Linked DNA regions of Lonchura striata. The protein of the gene in region 3 binds, or shares a complex with, the protein of the main gene of each other region. Links are inferred from orthologs where the notes say so. Each region holds a gene or a part of one and is shown on either strand. Other genes may lie near its edges.

Region 1 (7,666 bases), on a different chromosome or scaffold from region 3:
TCCATCAGTGAACAAGGCTTTACTGACAACTTTTCATACAGTTAAAAAATAAAAATACAGAACAACAGCGGACAGTGTCACATATTAAAAACGAATAAAATGGGCTCTATTTAAAATTTTAATAGATATTATAGGTATTAAAATTAATTAGAAACTAAAAATCTTACCACTTTGGTGAAGGTATTTTGAGCCTCAACCAAAATGATCAGCCTTAAAAACAACTGGGCTGTGTGACACACAAAGAAAACATGGAATTTGAAAAGACAGTGTGGGCTAGGCAGTGTCTTTGACTATAACTATCACCATATGTTCTTCTTCTAACTTCCCCAATGTCCTTAGTGCTGACTGGAGGTACTGCTGAGAGAACTCGCAAGGAGGGAACGCGTAAAGCATGCCTGTGCTGTCCCTGCCCTTTGCCCCTCCCACGGGCAGACTGATAACCCCAGCAGCCTGCTTCTGTTTCAAGTAGGAGACCAGATTCCTGAGAAGCCGTCGCTGCAAGCCAGGCTCTACCACAGGGAAGGTCCCCTCGGCCCCTGCCGGGGCGGACTGGGTGGCCAGGAGCACGGCGTAGCCGTTGGGGCTGCCTTGTTTGATGCGCCGGGTGACTTCATCCAGCTTGGGCTGGTCCAGCCGAAGCCTCTGAGCGATTTTGAGCTGCGTCAACTTCCCGCCGGACGAATGGTCTTTGAGGAGTCCGTTGATGACACCCACGTCTCCCTCCAGGATGTGCATAGAGGTGGGGAAGCAGCTGTTTTTTAGCACAAGAAGCCCATTCCAAGCAAGTTGCAGTGTCTGAGCGTATTCTGATAAATTCTTTAGCTTTTTGGTCTCAGATTTTGGCTCCTCGTGAGTTTTTGATTCCGATTCACCAGTTCGATGATTGCGTTCGCTGTCCCTTTTTTTGGGCTGGGGAGCATCGGCTGGCTCGCGATGGGGTTTCTCCTCGGCCGCGTGACGATTGTTCTGGAGGGAGTTGCTCTGCTCTTTCTCGGCTCCGGGTTCTGTAGTGTGATTCTCCTTGCGAGCCCTGTCAGGGCTGCGGTCTAGAGCTGGCCCACTGGCCTTTGTCCTGCTTCTGTCCTCGTAAGGCGAGTGAGTAGTCCTCCCGCGGTCACTGGAAAGACTCCGGCGTCTCCGCCTCTCTTCCCACGGTTTGGGCACGCTGCGGTCGCCGTCGCTGCCCCAGCGCTCCCCGCTCCGGCTGCGCACGGAGCGGCTGTAGCTCTCCAGGTTGTTCCTGCGTTCGGCGTTTTTGGCAGGGCTGGCCCAGTCTGCCTCCACAAAGCTCCTGTCTCTGTCCGAGTACAGGAGGTGCGGAGGAGTCCTATCCCGCACCCTCAAGTCTTGCTCCAGGCTCCGGTGCCGGCTGTAGCCGTCAGCCAGCAGCTCGTAGTGCACGGGGAGCGGCGCGGGCTGGTACTGCTGTGGGTATCTCGTCTCTTCTGCTTTGGCAAAATCCACTCGGAGCCTCCTCTCCGGTCCGCCCAAGGGAAAGCCCCTCATCTGCGCGCAGGCGGCCTGGGCAGCGTCCAGGCTCTCGTACTGGATGTAAGCGAAGCTGTCGCCCTTCACGTAGTCAATAGTCCTGATGCTGCCAAAGCGGTCGAACTCCCTGGCCAGGGCGGCCAGGGAAGTGCTAGGGCCGAGGCCCCCCACCCACAGCCGGGTGGTGGGGTTGGCTTTTCCGTAGCCAATTTTGATGGGGTTCCTGCCCACAACGCGGCCCGACATAGCCACCTTGGCCCGGTGAGCCATGTCTAAGTTCTGGAACTTGAGGAAGGCGTAGGCACCGCCCTGGCCACGTGCGGGGCGCTTGATCACCACCTCCTCGATGATGCCATACTTCTCGAAAGCGCGCCTCAGCTCCACCTCCGACACGTTGTGGTCCAGGTTGCCGATGAAGAGGTTGCGAGTGGCTCTCTGGTCATCCTCTGGCATCAGGTCTTCCTCGGCCACGATGGGGTAACTGTACGGGCGGCCGCGCTCGTCGTACAGCCCGTAGTAATCCAGGGCCCGCTCCCGCTCCCGGGAGAGCCCGATGGCGGCTGCTTCCAGCGCGAAGGCGGCAGCGGCGGCGTGGCGGGGCCGCGGCTCCCGCAGCAAGGGGCTGGTGACCGGCGACAGCGAGCGCTGCTTGTATTGGTAGGCGCTGTGCAGCGGCGGCAGATACCCCAGCGGCTCCGGGGAGGGCGCGGGGGGCGGCGTGCGGCTGCGCCGGCCCCCGCGCAGGTACACGGGCTCCACCTTGAGCGGCCGGTCGTAGAGGAGCAGCTGCCGGGCCCGGGCATGCCGGCGGGCGTCGCGGGCGTCCCCGGGGTGTCGGAAGTTCACGTAGGCGACGCGGCCGAGCTCGGGCGTGTGGGAGAGCTTGACACTGATGTCCCCGGCGCCCCCGCCCGCGAAGCGCTGGAAGAGGCGGAACAGCCCGTCCTCCAGCAGCTGGTCGGGCAAGGCCGCGCTCAGCCCGCTCACCAGCAGCGTCTTGTACTCGCAGGAGCCGGGCGGCTCCCCGGCCAGCCCGGCCGAGCCCCCGAGCGGCGCCAGCAGCAGCGAGGGCGCGGCGCCCGGCGGCGGCCCGGCCAGCAGCAGCGACGGGGCTACCACGGCGCCCGGCAGCGCCTTGGCCTTGGGCACGCCGAGCGCCCGGGAGGAGGAGGAGGAGGAGGACGAGGGGGCGGCCTGGCTGCCGCCGCGGGCGCCCGAGGCCGAGCCGCTCCCCGCCGGGCGGTGGTTCGAGTCGCCGCCGCCGCCGGCGCGCTCATCGCCGCGGTGGCTGCGGGAGCTGGAGCCGCCTCCGCTGCCGCCGCCGCTGCCGGTGGTGGTGCCGCCGCCGCCTCCGCCGCCGCCGCCGGGCGTGGACTTGTCCCGGCTGCTGCGGGAGGCGCCCGAGCTGCGGTGCGGGCCGCGCCGGCTGCTGCTCTCGCGGTCGCGATCGCGGGGCCGCTTGGCGGCGGCGGCCGCGCGTCCGCCCGCGGCCCCCGGCGGGCTCGAGTCGCGGTCGCTGCCGCGCTTCATCGCGCCGGGCCCGCGGCTCAGGAGGCGCCTCCGGCGGCCGCCGCCATCTTGGACAAAAGGGAACGAAGGCGGCTCCGGCCGCCGCGCCGCGCGGGCCCTACGTCATCGCCCCGCGCGCGCCGCGCCACAAGCCGGCGTCACGGGGCCCTGACGTCACGCGGCGCTTCCCGCCGCCCGCGCGCGACGGCCGGGCGGCCAATCAGGGCGGGCGGCGAAGCCCCGCCCCCCGGCGGGCTGAGGGGGCGCGCGGGGCCGGCCCGCGGATAAAGCGAGGAGGGGGCGGGAGCGCCGGGGCCCGGCGGGTGCGGGGTGCGGGGAGGGGCGTCCGCAATCACGGCACAGGCACGGCTCCGCCCGGTACACTCCGGCCAACTTTAATGCAAGTCCCGTACAAAGCGCGGGGCCGGCGTCGCCCCTCAGAGCCTCAAGGTCGCCCCTCAGAGTCCCCTCACAGGCCCGGTGTCACCCCGCAGAGCCCCAGGATCGGCCCGGTCTCGGCCCTCAGAGGTCTGTCCGGGCGCCGGCCGCCCTCGGCGCGTACTTGGGCATCAGTTCGTGGATCCTGCGGATGAAGTCGTACTTCTCGACACAGCCCTTGCACACCTCGCCCCAGTCATCCAGGATCCGCCGCAGCTCCTTGACGCGCAGCTTGCGCAGGTCGGCGGTGCTCAGGTCGATCTGCTTGTCTGCGGGGAGAGCAGAGTGGCACTCAGACATGCCAGCTGGGCGAGGAAGCCAAAACCCAACCGGGAGAGAGGTGCCAGGGGTGGAAGGAACGTCTAAGGTTTGGGCAGCAGATATGGCTCGTAATGCTAAAAATTATTAGAAGACAGAAAGCTCAGTTGCAGTTTAGATGCAGGAGTTCCAGAATAGCCCGGAAAGCCCCTTTATTACACGAGCAGCAACACTTCTTTACCACTGGATAAAAGAAATGTAGCAGAGTGATTTCAAGGGAAAGGTAAGAAAGTGACAACAACAAAAAGCTTTTTAGGAAGCAACACGACCTTAGTAGGAGAAATGAAAAGTACAAAGACCCACAATCTAAGGGGCGTCTCCAGGGGGTGTAAGGGCAGCTATAAGGGAAAGCAGAACGAGGCATTTCTATGCCTGTTTTTTGTATTAGTCTTTTCAGGAAGAGGAGTCATCTACGAACATGAGAGTTCAAGGAAGGTGATGAGAAACAGAGAGTGGAATGCTCTGAGGAGACACCAGAGGAGGTGAGAAAGCATTATTTATCACCCTGCTGATGGGAACAGGAGAGCAGCTGGGACTGCAGAGCTCAGGCAAGGGCCTGAGCCCTGCCACAGTGACACCCCTGCCTGCTGCCAGCACAGGCTGTACCACACACCCTCCCAAACAGCAGTGTGAGCAGTGTTTAGTGCTGTTCCACCTGGGAGTTAGTTATTCCAGGGCTGATCAGAGTCCCTGCAGAAGCCAAGAAGGGTTAGCAGTCAACAGTCTTACCTAAGCATCTCCATAGAACTCTCTAGGATGTTCATGGAGAGCAACACAGGTTGTGCAACCTAACTAGGCTACAGAACTCAGGACTGAGTATGTTTTAGGATGTTGCTTCACCCCCAGTCATCCACACCCCAGCAAATCATGGGCAAGCATCATGAGTGCAGGCAACTCACCGTATTTTAGTTCACAGATCTGACTGTCTTTCTTCTTTAGCTTCTCACAGATCTTTTCCACAGGGATGTGGTGACTCATGGGCTTTGATACCTCGTTAATGATTTTGGTGGCTGCATCACTTGTGGCGCCAATGTAATAGCACTAGAGGAAAGAAAAGAGTGAAGTGGGGATGTATGGAAAAAAGGCTTCTAAAAGCAGTCTTCTGTTCCTGTCCTCATCTGGTTTTTGTAGCTCGATGTTTGCTGTTAGAGAACCTCCCCAGGGGACTGCTAGAGCTGGGCAAAAGGAGCCTGAGCCCAGAATACTGAGCAGGTGTTTTCCATTGCAATGATATTACAGCTGCTGAGGCTGATCTTGTTTCTTAACTTTATAAAAATTGAACAGGATTAGGATAAAAGTTTTTATTCAAAGAGCCTCTCTGAAGCATTCCCCCTCTGCATGTCAGATGGTATCTCTTGTAGATCTCTGAGGAGAGTGCAGGCCTTTTCCTTGGGCCTCTTCATTCACAAATTGCCTCTGGTTTTAGTTAGGGCAATTTGGTTTTCCTTTATTTAGTTTTCAGCTAAGCAGCCAAAGAATATAAATATTTTAACACATTACATAGCACCCCAAATACCATTTAAGGGACACAGAAACCCTACAGCAAACAAAAGCTTTGTAATATCCAGTGCTTCAGCAACAATGAGATGCCAGCCAGTCCAACCACTGTTGACAGGGTGGTTTTTTCCCTTTTTTTTAAGATAGAGATTGAACTCCTCAAGTCCTTTAATAAAAAATACAGGACCTACGGTGGCCACAGAGCCAGCAAAAACAGCCCCTGGGAAGCCACATGATACAAACTCAGTTTTCCCTCACTTGCAGGAGGGAAATATTACTGACTTCCCCCTACTTACCAGGCGATTCTCTTTGCCCTTTGCTTCTTTGCAGGATTTCAAGAGCTCCTTTTCAATACTGGAAGGTGTGAATTCAACGTCATTGTCCTTTAGACTCTGGTAAAACCTTCCCAGGAATGTGACACACACTGGAAGGGAAGATGGATGGAGTTATCAGCCAGAGCAGTAATCTCATGGCACCTCTTAGAGGACATTTATAAGGAAATGGAATCGGGGGTTTGGATAACAGAACTTTTCTGAACTTCACCCATGGTTCAAAACGTCATTCAGAGCACATGTGAATCAACAACATGCCCTGGTACTTTTGGTGGGTTTATGACAATCTGAGAAATGAGATCCATGGAAGTGTCTAGGGGCCTCTGTACATTGTCCTGAGTGAGCACTGGGTCATATGGACACAAAACCACGCCCATCCAAAAATGTACATTTAAATTGTCTTGTTGCTTTGGGAAGCAACTTGTAAGAACATGGGTGTCAAACCCAGTGCTGACAGAAAACCAGCTCTGTACATAATCCTCTGAGACTCCCCGTGTGCTAACTTCAGTAACAGGGTATCACTGATTACCAGGCTGCTTCAGTTGAAATTACTTCCAAGAGAAAAAGAAATGTGATCCCATGCTATGTCCCCATGGCACCTTTCTCCTTTCATTTCCACAAGCTTCTGATGCAGTTTCAGATGGAAAGATGGAAGACTCTTAGATATAACACAACTCCCACAAGTGCAGCTGCAGCTGAGAGGACAGATCCAAGTTCATGCCCGTGGGAAGGGCTGCACAAATCGGTCATTGCTCCTTCCCTTGGCAGCAGTCGCTCCATACGTGCTCCAAAGTGCAGCAGCACCGTGTGTGGCTGGGAAGGAGGGCAGACAGCCTGTGGGATGACTGAGGGACACCCCAAGTGTCAGATTTTGGTCATTCTGCTGCTCACAATTCATCCGTGGATATCAGCATCACCTGGACAGAGCACTCTACTCCCCCTAATTCCTGCTCAGGACCTGTGCATTCTCACACCTTCCCATGCAAGATGAGTGCCAGGAACCATTCTGCCTCTAAGGAGCAGGTATGAGTTATGGCTTTTATGGAATTTGTTTACTCCAGCAGGAAGGGACTGGCAAATATTATTGTCATTAGCAACTTGTGTTCAACTCAGAACACAATGCATGGCACAGTAATTGGGTATGACAGGAAACTGAGTATGGCCATCACAGAACTGAACAGAAATGTACTCTCATGATATTAAAACTAGAACTAATTATAAGATGGGCCACCTTGGAAAACATTTTTTGTATGCATGCAGCACCCTTTTTTACCTCCCACCAGTCTATCCCCAGTCACAGACACATTGATGTTCACTGTAAGCACTTCCCAAGGAAGTGAAAACCTTGGGAAGAAAAAACTTGCTGCAGGCAGTGACACTGATGGCCACTGTAGGACAGAAACGTTTCCAGTCTAGTGCTGCGACAGCAGCTGCATGTTTTGATTTATAGGGTTCCCATCCCTCTTTCTCTCTTACTGTAGAGGAGGGATATTAGTGTCCCAAACTCCCAACCAGCTACTAGAGCCCCACCTCAAGTTCTTCTTGCTTCACTTGGGGAATCTGTTCAGTTCACTGCACAGGAGCAGCTTAATTTGCTGTGCAGCTCAACAGGTTCCACCCCCGAGGCGTTTGTATTTCCATGGTACACAAAGGGCCCGACTTGATTCGGATCAGCTGCTCACGGCTTCTGGCTGTGCACACCGAGAGGACTCCGAGCACTCCGCAGTACTGTGATGACTAAGGGGGAGTCCCGGGTGAGTAACCTCACTGGCGTTCTCCTGCTCCCTGCCCGGTCACCGTCACCAGGCAGGGACAGCCGGCGGGAGCGCTGCCCCGCCAGTGCCGAGCCGCGACAGTGCTGATCGCTGGAGACGGTCCGGTCTCCCGGAGTCGTCGCTCCTCTTTCCCGTGGGGACTCTACACTACCGCTGGCCCGTGGAGAGGGACCGGCAACTTCCCGACAGAGTGCAGTACCCTCGGAAGGGAGATCCCGTCCCTGGCGCGGGGCACGGCTGGAAGCCCCGCCCCGCCGTCCCCGCGGGCATCCCGGCGCATCGCCCCGGCACCGGACACCCCCGAGCACC
Region 2 (7,360 bases), on a different chromosome or scaffold from region 3:
GAGAGAAGAATCAAGCCTCAGGCTCATAATCTAAAAACTAGATTATTCTCCCTACCTGTTTTACTATAGTACAAGCACTTGATGGAATGACTTTTGGGACTTTGGTTTTTTTTAATAGCTTGTGATTAGAACTGAAACATGAATGTCCATATTTTCCTTCTAAGAAGCAGCTCCTCTGGAACCATTCTTACCAGAGCTGCACAGGGTGAGACCCCTCATCTTCTCCTGCTCTGCTCACATAAGACAACTGCAGTCCTTCAGAGCCTGTTACATTGCTCAGTTTCAGTTTTGTTTGTCAGAGCCTTAAACCATTGATTGCTGACATGATGGATCTCAGCACTGCAGAGGAGCCAACACAGCACATTACACACTCAGTGTATACAATATTTATGAAAATTCTAATGTAAGGATCCTTGAGTATGCAATACTGTTAGTGAACCTCAAGATAGTTCTTAAAAAGTGGTTCTACTGAAGGCACCCTTTTTCAAGGTTAAGATGCCTGGAGAAAATAATTGTAATTTTAGACTAAGAGCAGTGCTCAGGAAAGTGATAGACAACAGTGTTCATTGATCACAGTGAGCACCATGCATAATTTTGCTGAAGTTGACAGGTTTCATTTATTTGATTTTAGTCAGGCCTGATCCTGGAAGTTTCCATTCATTTGAACCAATGTTAAGTTTTACCTGTGCTACATGCAGCTTTTTACAAGTACCTCATACAAATCAGTGAACTAGTTTTATTCTGAAACTGGGATAGACCATTTTATATGTATTATGGATCATCCCCATGTATTCTAAATACTACGAGTAACAGTGTGATCCCATGGGATACAGAGCATGGGAAATCCTCACACTTGATGTCAATTTGGACTGACCTAATTTACTCCAAGACAACAGACATGAATTGTCAGTGCAGGGCCTTTCTGTAGCACTATCCCACATTGTAACACCTTGAACATTAGGGCAGAAATACAAATATTTGTTGTTTTAACATATTTCTGAAATTGAAGTGACTTCTTTTGCTTTGCTTTAAAATTGCCATTTCAGAGCACACTGCACCAGGGTGAAAGGCACAGGCAAACTTTACTTCTGATTTCTACTTTCCCAGCCTACATTTACAGCAAAATTGCAAACTGTTGGACAGGTGCTTACCAAGAAACTGTGGCATGCCTTTATCCAACACCATAAACACTACTGCTGCAGCACTAACATGTACAGCAGAAGTGGAAGTGATTCCCATCCTATCTGCAATTCAGCCACACAGTAATGATGCTCATTCCCAGTGAAATGCAAAAAATTAAAGAGGGTTTGAAGTTACGCAGCAACTCTGTACATGAGAATGCATAGGAAAAGAGGCCAAGCACAACAGTGCAATTCCTTTGAAGCTCTTCTGCTTTTTTGAGTTAATTAAAAGTTGGCTGGGTGGTTTTCCTCCCCCTGTTTTCCTGAGTGTCTCATCTTCAGCCTATATGGCAGGTGTTCTGGAGCAAGTCTCAGCAGCACCCACTGGATACCCTTACTTCCTTGCATTTGCAAGTATAACTTAATCTCCTTTCAACAGTGATAGCAGATAGGAAAGACTGACTTGGGCAGATACCAGGACAACTAAAATTACCAGACATTATGTAAACAACAGGAACTGACCATCAGTAACCTCAGCTAAAACAAAATTACATAAATGTATATATACTTTCTGAGTATTTAGACTAATTTTTACAAGTGAAGGAGTTTCTGTCAAGCCAGCAGATTGTATTTTTTAATAAAGGGCTGAATTAAGCCTGTTCTAAGACCACAGTATGTGTCTAGAGCTGTCTCATAGGCCTGCCCTGTGTCCTGTGCCCTAGTTTCTAACTACTGTGGGGTCACATCACCTCTCCTCATCCTCCCTCTTCCTAACCAGTGCTGAGGAGGGCAGAGCCACGGGCAGGATCCTGGTGCTGCTCTTCCCTTTTGTTGAGGGAGAGTAGGTTTGATAAGCACTTTAAGCAGAGGTCTGAGACCATATTGAACTGGTGGAGAGTAGAAAGAGTAGATACTACTGCATTAGCTCTACTCCCAACAGGTTTAGTTTTCTTCAGCAACTAAAAGTGCTGAAAAATTATAGTTTTAAAATTTGAGATGCTACTGTATCTCTGACTCCAGGAACCTAGAGCCTCCAGTGCATACACTTAAGCTGGACATGTTTGGTAAGAAGGAATGCAGGCCCTCCTCGGCAGAGTTGTTGTGCTCCAGGGGCAGCACAGAGGAAGCCCCTGAGACACGTGTTTGGGTGCTTGAGGCCTTACATTGGAACAGCAGTAGACTTAACCAGTGAAAATAAGAATTAACCTGTATCCTTTCAATCATGTTAAATACTATGTTTCTTGCTTCCTATGAAGTGAAAAAGTGTTTCCTGGTAATTTTACAATGTAAACACTATCTTGCAATTAAAATATTAATATATAAACAGATACTTGGTTATACAGCATAAACACACATGATGGCAGATCCTGCTGTTATCCTGCAATTCCCTAGGATCAATTTACACAGGAAACACAGAGCTGTGTTTCATCATGAAGAAAGAGTTTTTATATACCAGAAAGAAAAACTAAGCCACTGTAATGAAAGTCTTGATGTTGAGGTTGTGTTTTATGAGGTATCACTACTGTAACATGAACTGGTAATATAACTACCAGGTGTCTGAATACCGCAACATTTTGAGTAAACAACAGAGAAATAATTTTCTCATTAGTACCCTTTGATATGTTTGCTATATAACTTAAGTCATATGACAGAGGTTGATACATACTTCAAAGTGCACATACATTATATTTGGTTACCTCCACTAAATGGCAGGCTTGATATTAGCTACATGTAAAAATGGTCTTTCTTTCTATTTCTTTCTAGATTCTTTCTAGATTAACTTAACTAGGTGAAAAATCAAGACTATTTAAAATTGGTTACAAAATTACCTTTAGCAATCCTCTTGTGTGTTTTGCTGTGTGTACACGACTAAGTTCTTCCACCACTGTCATTGGGAAATCTGTAAATACAGAAAGAGGAGTGAGCCATATTATGCCATGGAGACTTTAGAAGAAAAATTGTATTCTTCAAGTACTCCCTTATTCAAATATGTGAATAGAAACATTGTGTAATGTGTACTCAGGAAGCACTGTATTGATTTCAGTAGGTGTCATGCAGCACTGTAAGTAATCATGCACTAAAATAAACTTATTTTTGGAGATGACATCTTCAAACTTGCTTTCTGATATGTCAGGAATCACTTTGCTATGAGTGCAGTTGATGTTTCAAGTGAAAATAATAGTCTATACAAAAGTCTGGTGAAGAACAGAAATAAACAGAATTCCAAACTCTGTCTGTGACCCATACAGAAAAACACAAAGAGAAAAATTTTAAAGACAGACAAATGATGTGCAACATGTCTACACTATAGTTATATTTGACACAGTAATAATCCTCTCTCAGGAATGATAGCTCACTCTGTAACATGAGTCAAATAAATGTTGTTTGTAATTTAGTGCACAGTAAGTTACTGCTGAGAAAGTAAATAGGAGGCAAAAAGGATCATGCCAAGCTAAACATGAGGTTAATTAATTCCTTGAGTTATTTGGCAGTTTCTTGGTTTTGTGGTTTTATAAAATACACTGAACTAAACCCAGGACAGAAGCTGAGAAGAAAAAGTGGATCTACCTATTATTATTATCATTATTATTGTTATTGTTATTATTATTTACACAAAGATGAACACAGACACAATGAAATGTAGGCACAAGCACTGACTATCTTCATCCCATTGCAAAACCCCTGCAAACTGGATGATGGTGTAGCTTCTAAGTAGATCACAGAACAGAGGCAGATGGATTAACTGGGATTTCAGGCAATACGAATTCATACAGCTGGGCTATGTTTGATAATTTAACAGAAATGTTTCTTGTTGAGTTACTGCTCTGTCATGGTTTTTCCTGTTTCTGTGTAGTTATCCCTATGACCAGCTTTTCCCCACCTTTACCAGTGCCACTTCAACAGAAGATGCATCAGACATCTCAAGTAAACTACTGGAATACAAAACTGCAAGATCTGCTAATTTTCTTAGATTTCTGTGCTCTGTAGCTCTTAAGAAACACTTTTTTCTTCCCCACTTATTTTAGACCATTTGTTATGCTTTTGAGCTTGCTTTGTCTGAGAGTTTGGTAAAGACCTCTCATGAATTAATAAAACTACATGCAGTGGTTTTTTGTCTGAGAAAAGTATGAACCAATGCATTCTTTGGCTAAAATAAACTGCTGTCATCTGTGACATGCATAATGTAACATAGGCCAGAGCAAAAGCTATGCAGTTCATGTGGTTATTTTCTGATTCCCTTAAGGTCAATGGAATTCTGTGAAAGATAAAAGTATAGCATATTTTATACAAATATACACATGCATACATATATATATATATACAGACATATATATATTTTGCTCATTTGGGTAGAGGAAATAACATTTCAATAATTATGTGTCTATAAATGCCTTGTAAGATCTTTAAGTTGTAGCATCAGAAGGATCAAAAATATGATGCAGTTGCAGTATGAGGAGAATAATGCTTTCCTCATGTTAAAAAAGGGTTCTCTTAATTTGTGCATCACTGTATGAGAATGTTAGGTGTGCCAGAATGTTTCTTGGGAAAAGCTCAGTATCCATGAAACAAGAACTAAGGGAAAATGAGGTTCAGAGTCTTTTGTGTGGGATGCATGAACTGAGCAATAGAGTATCTTGGAGGTGTAATTGTTTTATTTTTAATTTTTGGTAACTAGGGTCAGTGAGACTCCGGGGAGGCAAGAATGAGTTTGAAGGTACAGTGGAGGTTTATTTGAATGGAATCTGGGGAACAATCTGTGGGAACCATTGGGACAATAATGACGCGACAGTTGTATGTCGACAGCTTGCACTTGGGTAAGTTTCAGTTTGAGTAAAAACCAGTCAAATAATTTTCATGATTTTTCAGTATAAAGGACAATCTACTTTGTAAATCCTGAGAGCTTTTTGTGTTTGATGATTGCTTTTTCTGTTTGATGATTGCTTTTTCTGTTTGAAAGTGTTTGAATGCTGAAGTTGTTCTGCTCAGAATACTTTGCTGGCTTCATCTGCATTACCCTTCAAAGAGGAAACGAGTATTTCCTCAGAAAGCTGAAGATAGGCTCTGGATAGGAGCAGACTATGCAAATGCTTTGTTTTCAAAGTGAAATGTGTGAACAGGGCAGCAAGCTTCGACAAACTCCTCTACTGGACAAATGGAAGATGTCCACATGTACAGAATTACATGGTCCAGTCCTGATCTCACACATCTGAGATTAACCAAGTCAATTAACACCTCCAGTGAGGTTACTGAATCTATAACAATGTAAATGTGGCCAGGATTAGACTCTACATGGGCTCCTAATTCTCAGGGGCAAGGGGTTATCCTAGTAATCACCCATAGTAGTATGCCAAATAACACCTGGAACTCATCCTACGTTTTTGGCATATGACAACACTTTAGAGCTACAGCCATACTGGACAGGTTGAAAATCCCTGTACTGTCCTTGCTGACCACTACTTCCCACTGCTGCCAGAATGGAGTTAATCGACAGCACCCTTTAGCATAATTTGGCTGCCTTTATTGCCTTTCTAATATTTCTTTCACTCACATACCAAAGCATTGGTTTTGCTTGCTACAAGCAGTAAGAGGCTTTTATAGCAGACTTGCACCATGACATTCCTAATGATTAATCCACTTTTTAAGACTGCTAGCCAGAACTAAATCTAAGCTGGTTTATAATGTTCAATACTAATCTGGACGCACCATGCCAACTTATAAAAATATAAGGATTAGATGCAATAAAAGTTCAGCCATCTGGAGGCTGTGATTTTGTTTATGATTTCAGCTGTCTACGTGCAGTAGTTCCTTCTCTGTTTCATGTAAGTCCTATCTGCTTTCCATACCCTGAACATTTCAGCTGAACGAGACCGCTGTTAGCAAATATAGTTCAGCAATACAGGTGAATGGTTTTGTCTTTTCAGTAGAAATAGCTCAAAGCTGAACCCAGGCCAAAAAAATCCCCAAGCAAACAGTGGCTAAAAGTTTGAACTATCTTGAATGTTTTGCAGAAATTTGGATCTCTGTACCACCAGGTGAACTTATGAGGTATTACTAGTGCTTTTCAGGTGCTCCATCTATCTGTTCCTTTGATATCACCCTACTTGGGCTTTGTTTTAACTTCAGTGCTTTGCAAGGAATAGAAGGTGGCTCTATAAGTGTTGCTGTAGATTCAGCATGAGAAGGAAAAGAGAGCTGTTTATAAAATGTTCTGGGTGGATGGGAATGGCTGAATAGAGAAAAATGGATGGGGGCCTGATCTAATGGTGTGTGAGGTGGTTGCACAACCCCATCATCACAGTCACAATACAAGGCATTTATGGGCTGAGCATGCTATGTCTTCATGGAGTAAAGGACAGAATAAGGGAGAAAGATCTGGTGGCATTACCCCTCCTGGAACTGTAACTGCAGTGGGCTGGTACTGTAGATTCACCTATGGACTGTGGACTCTGTGTTGATTTTTGTAGTTAAGAACTGGGAGAGCAGGAATGTAGCTGGCTCTGCAGCAACAGTCATTGTACTAAAATATCCCACAACAAAACAGTGAGAACTGGGTCACATCTGTTAGTTTTCTTTGTGCAGAAGACAATGCTGAACTGTATGAAAATGTGATGAATTTACACCACTGAAGAAAGCCCTTTCTCTCCTCCTCTGAGATTTATATATGAGAAAATGTTTCCACTTCCCTTCCTCCCACTCTGATACCCTACCCTGATTATTTTTACAGGGAAAAAGGTACAGCAAAACACATACCCTTTTCTGCATTAGGCCTTATTCCTGTTTTCTGGAGTGAAGTGCGTTGTCGTGGTGATGAAGAAAATATACTGTTATGTGAAAAAGACACCTGGCAAGATGGGACATGTCCTCAAAAAATGGCAGCTGCTGTCACATGTAGCTCCACCCTGGGTAAAAAAATACATATGTTTTTCTCAAGCCCTTGCTTTATTTAAGTAGAAGTTGTAATAATTACAATAATTAAAATAGAAAAAGTGTTAAGATTTCTTGGAACAGATTATACAGATTGAATAATTGCATCATTAGCTGCTGCCTCGAGGAGGGCTGGGCTGGCAGTGCTGGGAAGATGGCAATGCCAATCTCTTCAGCTGAAACCACAACGTGTAGCTGCAGCCAGTTCTGTGCTGCCTTTCTTATCCTACTTATGGTTTTATCCAAAGAAGGTGGGTGCATTTTTGTCCTATAGCTTTATTAATAATGAGCACTATTTTCATAAATGGCTTTTA
Region 3 (6,860 bases):
GTTCTGTCTTGGTTGGCTGCTCATCTTTCAGTGAAACTTAATCATCTTTCTTAGGCAGTTTCATTCTCAGTGCCAGCTTGGCTTTTGAGATGCAGCTCCTGTCTTTCTGAGAATGATTTCTGGATGGGCACGTGTTCCTTTACTAGTGATTTGTTGTATTCTGACTTACACACTTTTTTTCTGATTTTTGGATGGGCACATGTTCCTTTACTAGTGATTTGTTGTGTTCTGACTTACACACTTTTTTTTTTGTCTCTCTTCTGCCTTATTGTCTCATCCTATGTTTCTGTCCATCTAGGAGCATGAGAGTCCCTAGATTATTACTACAGCAGGCTGCATTATGTAAGGCTCCCTTCCAAAAGTGAAACTGTACCCTGAAAGTATTTTTAATTCCCATTATGTCTTTTGGATTACTGGCTAACCCTTGTTTCATTTATTCATTTGTTTATGAAGCTGCTAGTCACTAATTGCCACTGTAGAGCTATTACCTTTTATTTTTCTCTTTCTTGGCTAATACATTCCCTAAAACACCTGTTATCCAGTCACAGTTCCCATTCCACCTTCTTTCTTGCATGCTTGCAGCATCTGGTCTAACAACATGCACCAGTTGGTCAGGTTCCTGTGTTGTGTTGCCCAGGCTCCCATTCCAGTTGCTTGTCCCAGGCCACTCCATTGTCCTGGGACTGGCTAAGCATAGTCTTTGCATGAAATGTCACCTTCCAGATGACATGGGCATTGTTATCTACAGGAAGGAACTGGGGTGCTTTGAAGTAAGGTGACCTCTCAGGGCCAGCACACTGTTACTGTTCTCATCTCCTCTCTGGCAATCCTTTTGTTTCCTTTGTAACCGTTTTTCTGTCCTTTTTGTATTAGTTGTGGTGATTTCCCACCACGTGTCCTTTTGTTCCACTTACTGTAACAGGACAGTTGTGAAACAACTCACACCCTTCTTCTTGCCAAGGAGGTCACACCCCCCGCCCCCAACACTGCAAGACTCATGTATCCTCTTATTTATTTCCTCCATTTTTCTGAAGTTTTCTTCTTTCACCCATTGATCCCTTCCTAAAAAACAAACAACCTGTGACTTTGCACTTCTCAATATGTCCAGATTTCTTCTGCCAGTTCTGAATTGCCTGCCCTGCTCTATTGCTCTACAGAAGGGTCTTCACCTCAATACCACCTGCAACTGTTGGCCTTTCCTGCACACACATTTGGTCTCTGAAAAGTACCCCACCTGTATCACTTTTCCTCAGTTTCCTTCCAGAATATCAACTTCTTACAACTGAAATTGGAGAATCAGCTCTATCATTCCTTTTTGAATGTGTTCATGTTTACCACCTTTTTTTTTTTTAACGTCTCTAAGATAAATGCTGTTCCTAACCAAATTCTGTTGTCTCCACTTTCATCAGTGGAGAAAATACCCCCCAAAATACACAAATTGCTTCTTGATATTGTGCAACTGTGTGTGACGTTCAAGCACTGCTGTTCTTGCAGCAAGGAAATGCCTGACCTGTAAGCCCAGCCATGTGCTGAAGTCAGTGACACTGCATTGAGAGCCACCTAAATTGAATCCTTCAAAGCTGATTCTGTTCAAATCCAGAGCTGCAGCTGTTCCCAGCAGCGAGAGTCACTGCAGATAAAAACGCAGGGCTGGAATTCCCCTGCCAGTTACCAAACAATTCTCAGTGGCTGACCTGGTTGCAGTACTGTTGCAGGCTATCCCAGCAGAGAAGTCATCTGACAGGGACTGCGCTCCTCTGGCACAATGGCACACACGGTGATGCCCATGTGTGGAGCAGTTGCAAAGCTACTGCCTCACAGAAGTCTCCAAAGAGCCCCTAAACCTAATCAAAACAAGCTGTGCCGAGTGTCAAAAGGCATTGTGCTACTGTGGTAAGCACATTTCTCTCTCTCAGAATTTTTCGTAGAGGTGCACAGAGGGAAAGAAAGAGAAAACAATTTCTATTTCTAGTCCTTGTTTTTCCTATGTGAAATGTGTTTGGAGAATTGTTTACCTGGGGTGATTGCTTGATTGGATTCTGTGAGAATTGTTTGAACCTGATGGCCAGTCAAATCCACTTGTGTCTGGACTCTCAAGAGGCGGTCACAAGTTGTGAGTTAGTTAGATATGGTAAGTAGAAAAAGTAAGTATGTAGTTTTAGTATCTCCTTTAAATAGTATATTAATATATTATAGTATACTCATAATAAAAAAAAATCATTCAGTCTTCTGAACTAGAGTCAGATGTTATTTCTTCCCACTGGGTTCACCTACATTTACAATATGCTACTTCAGTAAAATACATATAAAGGGGTTTTTCTTCTTTTCTATGTAAAGATACTGTATTTTACTTCAGGAGTCTAGATCTGGTAATTCAGCAGGATGAGACAGGGAATCCATGTTGGGGCAAGAATCACAGTAGGCAAATCTACCAGCATGGCCAAGGATGCTCCTTGGTTTTAAGATTGTGAAATATTTCTTTAAAGGGATTTATACTTTAACTACATCTGTTCAAACAGCATGAGGCAGAATCAGGTTTTCAGTGAACTGAGAAGAAATTCTAGTTGATGAGTATCCCTGCACTGCCATAAAACACCTCTTCAGGTGTGTCAGTAGAACCCATTGGGGAACTGCATGCTGTGGCTGGCTCCCTAACACGTGCTGTGGAGACAGGAACTTCCTGAACTAGTTTCACCACCGCAAATGGATGTATTAAACCACAGCCTTGTTTAAAGTGATGTAACATTTTCATGTGCAGTACAACCTAGAGGACTGCTGCTCCTGGTTTAAGTAAAAGTTTGGAATGATAAGAGAGCAGCAAGCTCAGCTACTGGAACAAAAAAGGGGCTTGTGAAGTCCCTATACACCCATAAACCAGTGTATTTCACAAGCAGCCGTTTCAGACACAAGAGGCAGATAACAAGGAATAATTATCACCCTTAAGGACAGTGCTTAAGGTATTTGGCTGAAGTTTCCATCTAGAGATGTAACACGTCATTTTACCGCTTCCTCCAAAGGCACATGGTGCAGCTTTGCTGTCAGGCACGGAGCTCGTACAGAAACGTGTGTAACCAACACCGCTTGCGTAAGATTAATTCCACATCATTCTCCTGGCCAGGGACCGGCTTTGGCTTCGTGGCGTCCCCAGTGCTTGATTGCCGTTGCAGAAGAGCAATAGATGCTAAACAGGTACTTTGGCGCTGCGGAAATGTTGAAAGGAATTCTGCTACACGGACTTGAGAGAAGCGACAAGTTCTTCACCTGAAAAGCGATTGCTTTAAGCACGGGAGAAGCTGCAGAGGAAACTTCTCAGGCGGGGCTGAAATTAACCAGCACCGCGCTTGTGAACCCGAGCGGAGGCCGAGGCTCGGCGCGGGCTGCGGGGACTGGGCTCTGTGGAGAGGGGGCAGCGCCCCGCCGCTCACAGCCCCGGCTGCGGCACGAGTTTCAGCAGGTTGGACTCGACGACCTCAGAGATTTTTTCTCGACCTGAGTCTGACTCGATGAGCGCCGCAGGGACGCGGCACTGAGGGCGGCGGGACCGGCAGTCAGCCCAGCCCCGCCCTCAGCCCCGCCCTCAGCCCCGCCCTCAGCCCCGCCCTCAGCCCCGCCCTCAGCCCCGCCCTCAGCCCCGCCCTCAGCCCCGCCCTCAGCCCCGCCCTCAGCCCCGCCCTCAGCCCCGCCCTCAGCCCCGCCCTCAGCCCCGCCCCAGCCCAGCCCCGCCCTCAGCCCCGCCCCAGCCCCGCCCCGCCCTCAGCCCCGCCCTCAGCCCCGCCCTCAGCCCCGCCCTCAGCCCCGCCCTCAGCCCCGCCCTCAGCCCCGCCCCAGCCCCGCCCCGCCCCGCGCGGCCCGGAAGCGCTGGCGCGCGCGCCGGAAGCGCGTCCCCCGCGGCCCGGCCAAGATGGCGGCGGATGCCGCCACCGAGCTGCTGTTCCTGGACACGTTCAAGCACCAGAGCGCGGAGGTAAAAGGGCGTTCGGGTTCCGCCTCGCCTCTCACCTCCCTTCCCCTCCTCTCCCTTCTCCTGGGCTACTGCTGGCGCCCCCCTTGCTCGCGCCGGGGCCTGCCGGGAGTGCGGAAGCCCCGCAGGGGCGGGCCCGGCTGCGGTCGGGCAGCAGCAGTCCTGGGGCAGGCCCCTTCGAGGGGGAGCTGCCGCCTCCTTCCCGCTCGCCTGACCCGAAGCCTTGCTCGAGCCGCTGTCCTGGCAGCCTGAGTGCTGCTGGCAGGGGGCGGAGGGTGGTGGGAAAGCAGCGGGGATTTAGAGGTGGCGAGGAATGTAGGCGAGCGGAGAACAAAGAAGATAAACGTGCTTCGAGAAGTCGATATAATGGAAGAAGTTGACTGGAGGGCTATGCCCTGCCGCTTGTGAGATTTCTGATGCTCTTGTGTAGCTGATGATGAGGAGGGATATTTGTGTGTTTGTGAGGTATTCCCTTAGATTTATTTACTTTACACTAAATGAGCGTTTCAAGCTTTTTTGGCAGTGGTAGATCGTGCAAATATTCCACTTTGAGGCTGTTGGGATCCTGAGCATCTTTGAAACTGCTGATCTTGCAGCAGATTTGTCTGGGGCTGTGCTCGATGAAGAATTCAGGGAGGAGGAATGGGACTGTTAGGGGAAAAGTAACATGAGAAAGACGTTCAAATTCATAGAATAACTGGACTGCATTCGTGAATAGGCATTAAGGAAAGAGCTCATGCTGCAATGAAATGCAGTTGAAAAGTTATTCTGGAGTGTTGTAGCTGTCTGGATCAGCTAGGCCCCAATTGTTTTTTAATTCCACTGTTTAAAACAATGTTAGGTGGGGAGTGCTACCCAGTGCTGTTCCCCTGGATAGAAACAGTAGCCACTCTTAGGCCTCTCCAGGGCCCTATGTTCTTTTGTTGAACATTTTAATCTTTAAAAATAATTTTCTCTCACTTTCATTCTTATCAGTGGCATTGTCCAAACCTGAACCTTAGGTTTTTTATGTGTATATTGAAAGTCTTCTTTATGTTAGGCTAATTCTTTGGCTTTGTGGATTATGAATGTTTTACTAGAGCTTACAGCTCTTGAAAAGTACTGCTGTGTTTTTGAATAAAGTAATTTATTTGGCTTAGCTATACAGTTTAGAGTAGTTATTGAGTAGTTCTGATGGAGGGTCTTTTTTAATGTTTTGTAGGAGAAGTGGGTAGAATTCACTTGCTTTGGTGATGTTGGTGCATGGCTGTCAGGCCATAATCCAGTATCATTTAAAGAGGAATTTGTCTTTATGTGGGTGGTGTTCCTAGGGATGAAGCTCCCCAGAGCAGCCCTTTCTCCAGAAATTTGAGCTTCCTGCATGACTCAGATGTTTTTTAGAGACACAGATGAGCTCCTACAACCCTCACTCCATGTAGGCTGCACTCGCCCTGTTGCTGTTCGTGTGTCTGTGCTTCCTGTCCTAGTGGGATTCCTTTGCTTCCACCATCCAGCTTCTACCACATCAGCCCACAGGCCAAGCTGTGTTGTATTGTCTGCAAAAAAATGTCTGCATCGATTTTTTACAAGACAGTAACACATGCTGAAAACCATATCTTAAAAGCGGTTTTAAAACTCCAGTTTGTCTGTTTCATTGCTTACTAGCTTTCTAAAAATTTTAGTACTTGCTTTCTGCTGGTTTAATTTGCTTTCTGATTGTAGTGAAAAAGATACATTTCGACTGCAAATCAATTTGTTTTTTAATTTTAATTTTTTAGTTGTGTTAATAGACAGGTCGGTGGCTTGGGGTTTTTTTCCTATTAGTCTGGTAATTCAGCTTGCTAATTGGAAATGTGATTCTGAACTTCTCTTAAGAAAGTATTTATATGTTTACAATTAAACATAAATTTTATATGTGTACCATTTTATGCGTATAAATATGATAAAAATGATGGATAAATATAATATGATCTAATGCAGTGAATTTAGTGAGAGAAGATGTCCAGCATTAATTTTTTAGTAGCTGCTATATGAAAAGTCACTGTAAGTTTGATAACTTCCTAGTTTGCTCAAACAGCTTTTTGGAGGGTGTAAGAATTCTTTATACTTGATGTTTTATTATTAAGACTGCAATATGTTCTGTTAGTAGAGAATGCAAGACCATGATGTTGTTTGTGTTTTACGTTTCCTAGAATTTGCTTCCTCTTTGTTTTGTAGCAAAGTACCAATATCGATGTGGTTCGTTTTCCATGCGTGGTTTACATAAATGAAGTCCGAGTCATTCCTCCTGGAGTGAGAGCTCACACAAGTTTGCCTGACAACAGGGCTTATGGGTAAGTGAAAGATTCCAGGTATCAGATTCAAGAAAACCTTCCTCTTACTTTTTTCTTGAGCTTTCATCTCTCAATAGACCTTCCTACATAAAAATGTAAAATGTATTTGGGTGTTTGCCAGACTTGTAATTATTTTGGGGCATTCCTTAAATAGGATAATTTTGTGGTTTTTATCTCCTTGGTAGTCCTGCTTACTCTGATAAGGAACTCATCTGATTTTACTTTCATTCTGTTCCTAGAGAGACATCCCCTCATTCATTTCAACTGGACTTGTTTTTCAACAATGTCAGCAAACCAAGTGCCCCTGTGTTTGATCGGCTGGGAAGGTAAGTTCTTTCAAGATTAGTGTGTGACTTCCTTATCTACCTTTAATTCCTGAAAATTTTTAGAGTGCAGAGAATGTGCAATAGAAAATCCTCTATCTCCCATGACTTTCACGTTTGGTTTGGATTTTGCTAGTTTGTGTTCTTGTTCTTTTCATCTCATCTGTGTGGAAGGACAGAGGTTTATGCTTAAAGTAAGAAAAAATTCTGTTATTTTTAAATTTACAGAGTCCATATATATTAATGCCAAGAATTCTGTAGAAA
Region 4 (7,507 bases), on a different chromosome or scaffold from region 3:
TAAGAGCATGGGTCATTTTTATTGAAATCATCAAAAAATGCCACAGCACCTCCAATCTGCTGAGTCCATTCTACAGAAATGTAGAACCAAAGCAGTAAGACAGCCTGTTTTGGAAATGGGCACTACTGAAGCCCTACATGAAGTAGCACTTGGAGATTTGAAACTTGTTTTGCATTTAGACAGAACCCTGGACTCTTAAGTCTCTGAGTAAAGTCTCGAAAAATCCTGTAGAATAATACATTTCCCTACTACAGGGAATTTATATGAATTTACCTTCATCACCAGCTTGTGTCTTCGAAGGCATCCTGTTCATATTTCTTGGAGTTCGAGGTGCAGGTTTGGTTTTATTGGTCTGTTTTGAAATAAGCTTTATAGGGATTCTTCTACGGACATCAAGACCACCCAAAGATCCTGAACTATTTGTTCCTTGCAAATCATTGTCTGTGAAAGAAAATTGTAAAAAGTATACATTATAAAAATTTATTTAATAGTCTCTAAAGAGGTTAAATATTAACAGAAATGTTTTAAGAAAACATTTAATTTTTAAAGCTTGCTTAAGACTCCTACAACATATTAAAATTTTATCACTAGAAAATAGGTATCCCTCACAGACAATACAAGAAGCCACGTCACAAAACTGTATTTGGAACAGCAAGGAAGTTAGGAAATCTAGTTTAAAAATAAAGCTATTAAAATAATCTAGCTAGTCACACATTTCTCCACAACAGAAACATTAACCTTACAGCTCTTCTCACCGCGTGAAGAGCACTGGAGAGTCAATTCTTTGTAGAACCTTGACTACACAGAATTTCTTATGTGAAAAGATAATTTTTACAATTTATGTGTATTGTTTACTAAAGTAGGAAGGAAACTAGTTTCTCTATTAACTCATCATCTTGACATATTACTTAGAAATTTATAAAAAAGTATCACAAAAATACTGGTACTTAGGAATACATAGTTACATCCTTCCTAAACTGAAAATTACTGCTCCCAGCTATATACAAAATTCTCCTTAATCAGATTTACATCTAAGTACCAGGGTGAACAAAACAAGAAATAGCCTGACACATGCATAAGCAGGTACAGGCTCCAAGAGATAACATAGAGCAGGCAATGCAACAAGCAACACAAATGAGGAGGCATAACTCCCTCAAACTCCAGTGAGTTTATCTGAAACCACCCCACAGCATCTCATCCATGAAAAAATATGAAGTTACATCTTTCACAAATCTTCCCAGCTCACTGGAATTTTATCTGAAAATGCCACAGGTGTTTCAAAGCAGGGCACACTCAGTCTGGAAGGGGTGAGCCCCGAGCACTTACAGCCCTGCAGTTCCACAGGGTAGGGCACTCCAGCCCTGGAATGACTGCAGAGGCCCCAAGGATTGCAGTGCAGGACACTGAAATTAGGGTCCATTAGTGCAATTCTGCACAGTGCCTCACCAACTGCTGTCTCTCAAAGCCTATAACCACCACAACAAGTGGCATCATAACAATGCAACAAGTAGAAGGAAAAACAAGAAAAAATGGGATTGCTCTCAGTTTTTCAGCAGCTACCACCAAAGCCAGGAAATGTATCTGTTTCAAACTGGGACTGTGCCCTGGCAGTCCTGTACCTCCAAACCAAAAGCCCTCAGTTTCCTTAGATTGATCAAACTCCTCTTAGCACTATGGTTGACAGTTTCACTCTAAAAGGAAATACACTAAAGGCAAAAGCAATAAAGCTTTTTTTTACTTCATTTGCTATTTCTTTCAGCTGTCCAGATGAACCTGCAAACACTCAACTATATCATCAGGCTTCTGCAGGGAGTGCTTGACCAAGGCATCAGAGGTAAAGCTGCTTGTTTTCCATGTGTTGGGAAATTGTTTTCTACCAGAATACACAAAACCACAGCACCATAAACCACAAAGATCTCTGCTGCAACTCAGTCCATTTGCAAACAGGGACAACTAAAACGAATTTTAAAAATCAAACACTTGTTTATTAGTTAGTCCATTGAACTGCCAATACATAGTCGCTTTTCCTCCTTATAGCCTTTTGTACCAGGAATACTTACATGAGCTAGCTGCTTAACTATCCAAACTACCAAGTTTACTAGTCACTCATGCTTTACAGAAAGATAATAAATTCCAGTCTGCATGAGCATAGCTTGTGGGATTATGTCCAGAAAAAACTACAACAAACATACCAGACTTGTTAAGACTACTTAAAAAAGCTCTAATTAGAAGTGATGCAACCTAGTGAAATGTCACCTTCAACTTAGTTTTACTTTTGCATTTCAAGCTTTATTAAAATTCACAAATAAAACTCAAATACTTTATACAGATAGTCATAAAGCAATCTTTTGTAAGGGAAAGGAAAAAAATCCTCCAAAACCACCCTAGCACAAAGCGCACGTCCATTCATTTCTTCACTGCACTACGCCAGCGCATTAACTCGCGAAGGATCACAGCTGCGCCAGCGCGCTCACCGGCGAACGACATTTAACCCACCACACCGAATTTAGGCACGGGAGGAAGCTTCCTCTCGGGCCACGACCGCGGAACCAGGAGACACACTGTGGGCCGCACGCCGGGACCGCCGCGGGCAAAGGAGCGTCCGTGCCCCGCCTCCGGGAGTCGCGGGCCGCAGCCGGCGGGGCCCGGCCGCTCCGGCCCGCCCGGCGCCCGCCGCTCCCCCGGCCCGGGGGTCCCGCGGCCGCTCCGCCCGGCGGGGCAGCGCCGGGCAGCGCCGGGCCCAAGGCGGCAGCGGGGCCGCGGCGCCTGCCCGGGCAGGAGCAGGAGCAGGAGCAGGAGCAGGCCCCGCGGCGCGCCCGAGCCCCGCCGGCGCTCCGGGGCCGGGCCGGGCCCGGCGCCGCCGCCCCTGCGCCGCCCCGCGCCCCCCGGCCCCGCTGGGCCGCTCCCGGAGCGGCGGCGGGCGCGGGCCCGGCGGGGCGGGCACGGACGGGCCCCCGGCCTCCCCCTGCTCACCATTGTGGTCCATGATGCGGCGCGCGGCGCTGTGGGAGCGGAAGGGCGCGGCCGGAAGCGGCGGGGCCGCCTGCCCGAGCCCCGCCAGCGCTCCGGGCCGGCGGAGCCGCGGCGGCTTGGGGCTGGGAGGCGGCCCCCGGGGCTTTGGGGGAAGGACGGAGTGAAAACACGAGCGGTCTCTCGGTTCGGAGCCGTGCAGGCCCCGTCCAGCCGCCTCAGCGGCGCGGGCTCCACACACGCTGGGAAGATGCGGCGCCGCAGCGCGCTCTGGGCTGCTGGTGTCAGCATTAAGTTCAGCATGGAAATGGCAGATTGGTGAGCCTTAAATTATAGCATAGAAATGGCAGATTGGTCAGCCTTAGGTTCTAGCATGGAAATGGCAGATTGGTCAGCCTTAAATTATAGCATGGAAATGGCAGATTGGTCAGCCTTAGGTTCTAGCATGGAAATGGCAGATTGGTCAGCCTTAGGTTCTAGCATGGAAATGGCAGATTGGTCAGCCTTAAGTTCCAGCATGGAAATGGCAAATTGGTCAGCCTTAGGTTCTAGCATGGAAATGGCAGATTGGTCAGCCTCCAGTTTAGCATGGAGATGGCAGATTGCTGACACGCTGTACAAGTGATGGAGCACTGAATCTCCAGAGCACTCAGCAGCTTCACAACAACAGAGCTCACTAGCTCAGGAGTGGGCTTAATGTTACATTGAGCACTTTTTAATTCCTGTAAACTCGGTGCGATGCTGAAGAATAGCACTGGAGAAAGGAAAGAAATAAAAATACAACAAAGTCATAAGTTATAAGTAGAAAGTGGCCCCGAGCAGTCCTACCACAACGCTAAAGTACGGGTAACTCTACTCCATGCACTTCAGATTGGTAATTGTCTCAATAAAAGCCTCCCGGATTGGGATCTTGTGCTCCTACAGACAGTATCTCTCATTATCTTTATAGGCGTAACATTTAAAAGCTACCATTAAAGTCTCACATTTCTTGTCTTACCCCCACAAGGCAGAGGGAACAGGTTTTCCCTTTTGTGTTTGTTGATACTCAAAACAGAGACCAAGGTAAGCGGGACACTGATTCCTTCATAATATGCTTTATCTTCCCATAATAGGAATTCACAAAGAAAAGACTTAAAAAACCCGAAACTAAACAAGAAACCCCCAAGGACACAAGGAGCACGTTTTCAGTATGCACAACTTTATTTTCTAGTTTATGGGTATAATTTTCAAATGTAGCTTTTTAAAAGTGTAAAAAAAAAATACATCTCCAAATTTGATATCTGACATGCAAAGACAGAACAGTAATACTCAAAATGCATACAAAAATACCACTTCTTCATGCTGCTGGAAAAAGATAAGCACATCCAGTTACACTACTTAAAGATACATTAATTAGTACAAAACTGTAGAGAATTATAGCTTCATTGCAAAATCCATTATTTTGGTATCCTTAATTTTGAGGGATACAGAGAAAATTAAGCACATAACCAATGAGAAAGGCATTTGAATGCATTCTTCATACTACCTCTTACTCTTCTATGCCACTGTAGGCTTTGAGAGAAATGCTGTTTTTCAGAGAAAAGTTTAATATTTTGTGCCTGTTAAATTAAGACCAACCATGCCTGGAAGAAATACACAGGCCAAGAATAAGTGCATTTTATCATATTTTATCACAATTAATCCCAGATCAGATGTCATATTTGGAAAAGAACTGGAAGACTGTTGAGTATTTAATTGCTTTTTAAATACCTGTCCAGACAAGAACTAGAGAAATTTAAAAAAATAATGTCATGACATCTCTGTTAAGTAGGAATCTGTACTCAAACTTCACATTGCAGATGTTGCCTTGAAAAAAAAAAAAATCACTGCTACAATTTTTTACCATCTTTTCTGTAGACGTGCAACAATTAGCTGAAAGCTCACTTACCAGGTAGATTATTTTACTTTTTACTTAAAATGTGTATCTGTTCCAGAGAAGCAGTACAGCTTCTAAAAACATGTTACTGGCCTTGTGCACTGGCAAATGTTCCAGCAGTCAGGTTAATAGGAGTTGGGGCCACAGCCTGATGGGGTCTTCAGGCCAGAAGTGCCAACCTCCTGTGACAGGCTGGCAAGGAGACAGAAGGAGGACAGGTGGGGTTAAAAGCATGAATTGTCAAATCACAGGCTGGGCTGAAGCATTAGTGCCAATAGAAATTAATGGCTCCATCTGAACAGGTGCAGAGTGGTCTGATTTGCCTCTTGAACTCTTGCTCCATTCTCAGATGGTGGAGATGCCCATCCCACGGACAAAAGGCCCATGTCCATTGTGAATACAATCCTGCTGTTTGCTGGCTTGGACTGGAGCACCAACATCACCTAAGCTCAAGTGTCTGTACTGAGAAACTTCACTGTTGTGAAGGCTGAAGTCTGTGCTGTAACAAGAGAATAGGGATTCTAATTTGGTGCCATTGGCTGAAGTTTATAGGATTTTTTTTCACTGATGTTAACAGAGTTAACTTGGATAATTTATTTAGTGTTTAGCTTTTCCATTGCTACCTGCAGCAGAAATCTGTGCAGTATGTGAGAAAATTTCTCTCATGTAATCAAGTAAGAAGAATTAAATATACTGAAGGTAATTTTCACCATTGTTAAACTTAAAGGCATTTTATACCTGGACATTTCTTACACTTCAGTTTTTAACAATTTCCTCACAATGCAGAGGTTTTTCCCATTTTAAAAATAATGCAATGCTAAATAAATCAAGGTGGCAGTCCATTTTCCATCAAAATACATTTCTTCTTCATGAAAACTAAGAACATTAGTTTAGGATTAAAGTTTTGCTATTCAAATCTTTTGTAAATTATTGCACTTGTGCATTATGAACTTTCATATGTAAAAGAACAGCAGCAGTTTAATGTAGACTATTAAAAGAAAAAATCTCTATAAAAATATAACTATTCATTAAACAAAAAATACATCTATATTCCATTAAAAGAACCCCAAATATCAATACTAGGTCACATTCTGACTTTCTTGCTTACACTCAGTATCAGCCTGTTTCACAGATTTCATTAAGTACTCAGGGACTAAGGTTTTCCTTAATTTATGTCATGATCCGCCTCTTGATGAAGATTATGTAACCTAGCCAAAATAATCTTCTGTCTGTCCTTCATTTAAGGGACAATCATTAACAGTAGTGCAAGACTTGCTACAATGGGACTAATACAGAACAAATGAACCCATATCCAAGGGTCTTTAGAAACTTTTCCTATTTAAAGTATTACTGTAGTTCAGTGCTGTTTCCTGTTCATGTGACAGTTTCACCTGTCACCTCTTTCAGTGATCTAACTACCTGCAGCAATTTAAGGAATTGCTTGAAAAAAATGATCATGGTACATTTTTCAAGGCTTGTCAGCACATATTCTCACACTAATGTTCTAGAATTCAAAGCCTTGGCCAGCAAGAACTCCAGCCCTTTCACTAGACTTTGTAGAAATATTGAACAAAAAGCTTGCCATCCAAAGATTTTGGTCTCTTCCACTCTCCTGGGCAGACCACAGAGCAGCTTTTCAGTCCCAAAACTGAGTACATCTTTCACAATAGTCTTCTGATTTTCTTTTTTATTAATATATATCATAGCAGAAAGTGCTTGCAGAATCAAGGTCCAGAATATTTCTGGGATAATGCTAGCTAAAATTTGGAGAGTTGTAGAGATCTGTATCATTCAGACAAACAATCAGGGTTTTCTTCAAGTGCAAAGATTGGTTTAATAGCAGAAAATGCTGGTCTGGGTAGTACTGGTGTGTGGATATTGCCGTGTGCTCACAGGCAGGATGGTACCAGCAGTCCTTCAGGAAGCAAGTCGGCGCATGGCCTAGAAAAATGGGTTTTGAAAGGTGGAGAGAAACAGGCTGTGGTTAGTTCTCAGTATGCAGCATCTGGGAAAATTACATGTTTGTGTAAATTAAAAACTCAGTGAAAGTACAAAGAACATCTGTAAACTGTGCAGATTGTGCAAGAAGCTGTCTGTTGTCTTAAAAGGAAGAATGAAAGATTGATCATAATTTTCCACTCTAGTGCCTCAAGTCTTACAAAGTCTTCTTTTTAGGCCCCCAGCTTGTGTTTAAATATAAGCCAGTGTAAGGCAAAAGTAATCCTAAAGCAAGAGAGATGAGGAGATACTTAAGCAGATATCATCTACTACTATCTCAAAATATCTCAAGAAAAATCTGACTTCCTCCACTTAGCACTGACATGCAGTATCCAGAGAGGGTATGTATTTATGGAGAAGGTACCTGTTGAGGGCCATACTCTCACAGCAAGACTGAAGGCTACAGGCAGAGGGATAGACACATTCTAAAATGCATACCTCTTCCTGAACATCAAGTTCATCATCAGGCTGGCTGGCTTCTGTGAACTCTATGGGTTCTTTGGACTCCTGCATGAGTGAAATCTTGGTAGAAATAAATTAAGAAACATGATGAGTTACATGTTGTCCATATAATTGAAATTTATTTTTTTACTCTAAAGTACCTTAAAATAACTTCCACAACTT

Evidence for each region.
Region 1: VIRMA (region 3) and RBM15B share a complex: the UniProt entries of both Homo sapiens proteins name them as parts of the WMM complex. The link is inferred for Lonchura striata from reciprocal best matches to the Homo sapiens genes VIRMA and RBM15B.
Region 2: VIRMA (region 3) and METTL14 share a complex: the UniProt entries of both Homo sapiens proteins name them as parts of the WMM complex. The link is inferred for Lonchura striata from reciprocal best matches to the Homo sapiens genes VIRMA and METTL14.
Region 4: VIRMA (region 3) and CBLL1 share a complex: the UniProt entries of both Homo sapiens proteins name them as parts of the WMM complex. The link is inferred for Lonchura striata from reciprocal best matches to the Homo sapiens genes VIRMA and CBLL1.

Annotation. Positions count from the first base shown.
Region 1 is NC_134614.1:7,695,619-7,703,284, forward strand, and holds the start of RBM15B (putative RNA-binding protein 15B), read right to left. Parts: upstream 3,019-7,666; coding exon 274-3,018; 3' UTR 1-273. Other genes in the region: MANF (mesencephalic astrocyte-derived neurotrophic factor), read right to left, coding at 3,520-3,704, 4,653-4,794, 5,547-5,674. UniProt on the Homo sapiens protein: RNA-binding protein that acts as a key regulator of N6-methyladenosine (m6A) methylation of RNAs, thereby regulating different processes, such as alternative splicing of mRNAs and X chromosome inactivation mediated by Xist RNA.
Region 2 is NC_134606.1:70,409,229-70,416,588, forward strand, and holds the start of METTL14 (N(6)-adenosine-methyltransferase non-catalytic subunit METTL14), read right to left. Parts: upstream 3,017-7,360; 5' UTR 2,951-3,016; intron 1-2,950. Other genes in the region: PRSS12 (neurotrypsin), read left to right, coding at 4,798-4,936, 6,847-7,025. UniProt on the Homo sapiens protein: The METTL3-METTL14 heterodimer forms a N6-methyltransferase complex that methylates adenosine residues at the N(6) position of some mRNAs and regulates the circadian clock, differentiation of embryonic stem cells and cortical neurogenesis.
Region 3 is NC_134603.1:24,171,589-24,178,448, forward strand, and holds the start of VIRMA (protein virilizer homolog), read left to right. Parts: upstream 1-3,849; 5' UTR 3,850-3,901; coding exon 3,902-3,964; intron 3,965-6,157; coding exon 6,158-6,273; intron 6,274-6,512; coding exon 6,513-6,599; intron 6,600-6,860. UniProt on the Homo sapiens protein: Associated component of the WMM complex, a complex that mediates N6-methyladenosine (m6A) methylation of RNAs, a modification that plays a role in the efficiency of mRNA splicing and RNA processing.
Region 4 is NC_134607.1:59,135,382-59,142,888, forward strand, and holds the start of CBLL1 (E3 ubiquitin-protein ligase Hakai), read right to left. Parts: upstream 3,019-7,507; 5' UTR 2,987-3,018; coding exon 2,974-2,986; intron 2,605-2,973; exon of another isoform or gene 2,497-2,604; intron 442-2,496; coding exon 274-441; intron 1-273. Other genes in the region: SLC26A4 (pendrin), read right to left, coding at 6,803-6,826, 7,322-7,405. UniProt on the Homo sapiens protein: E3 ubiquitin-protein ligase that mediates ubiquitination of several tyrosine-phosphorylated Src substrates, including CDH1, CTTN and DOK1. Targets CDH1 for endocytosis and degradation.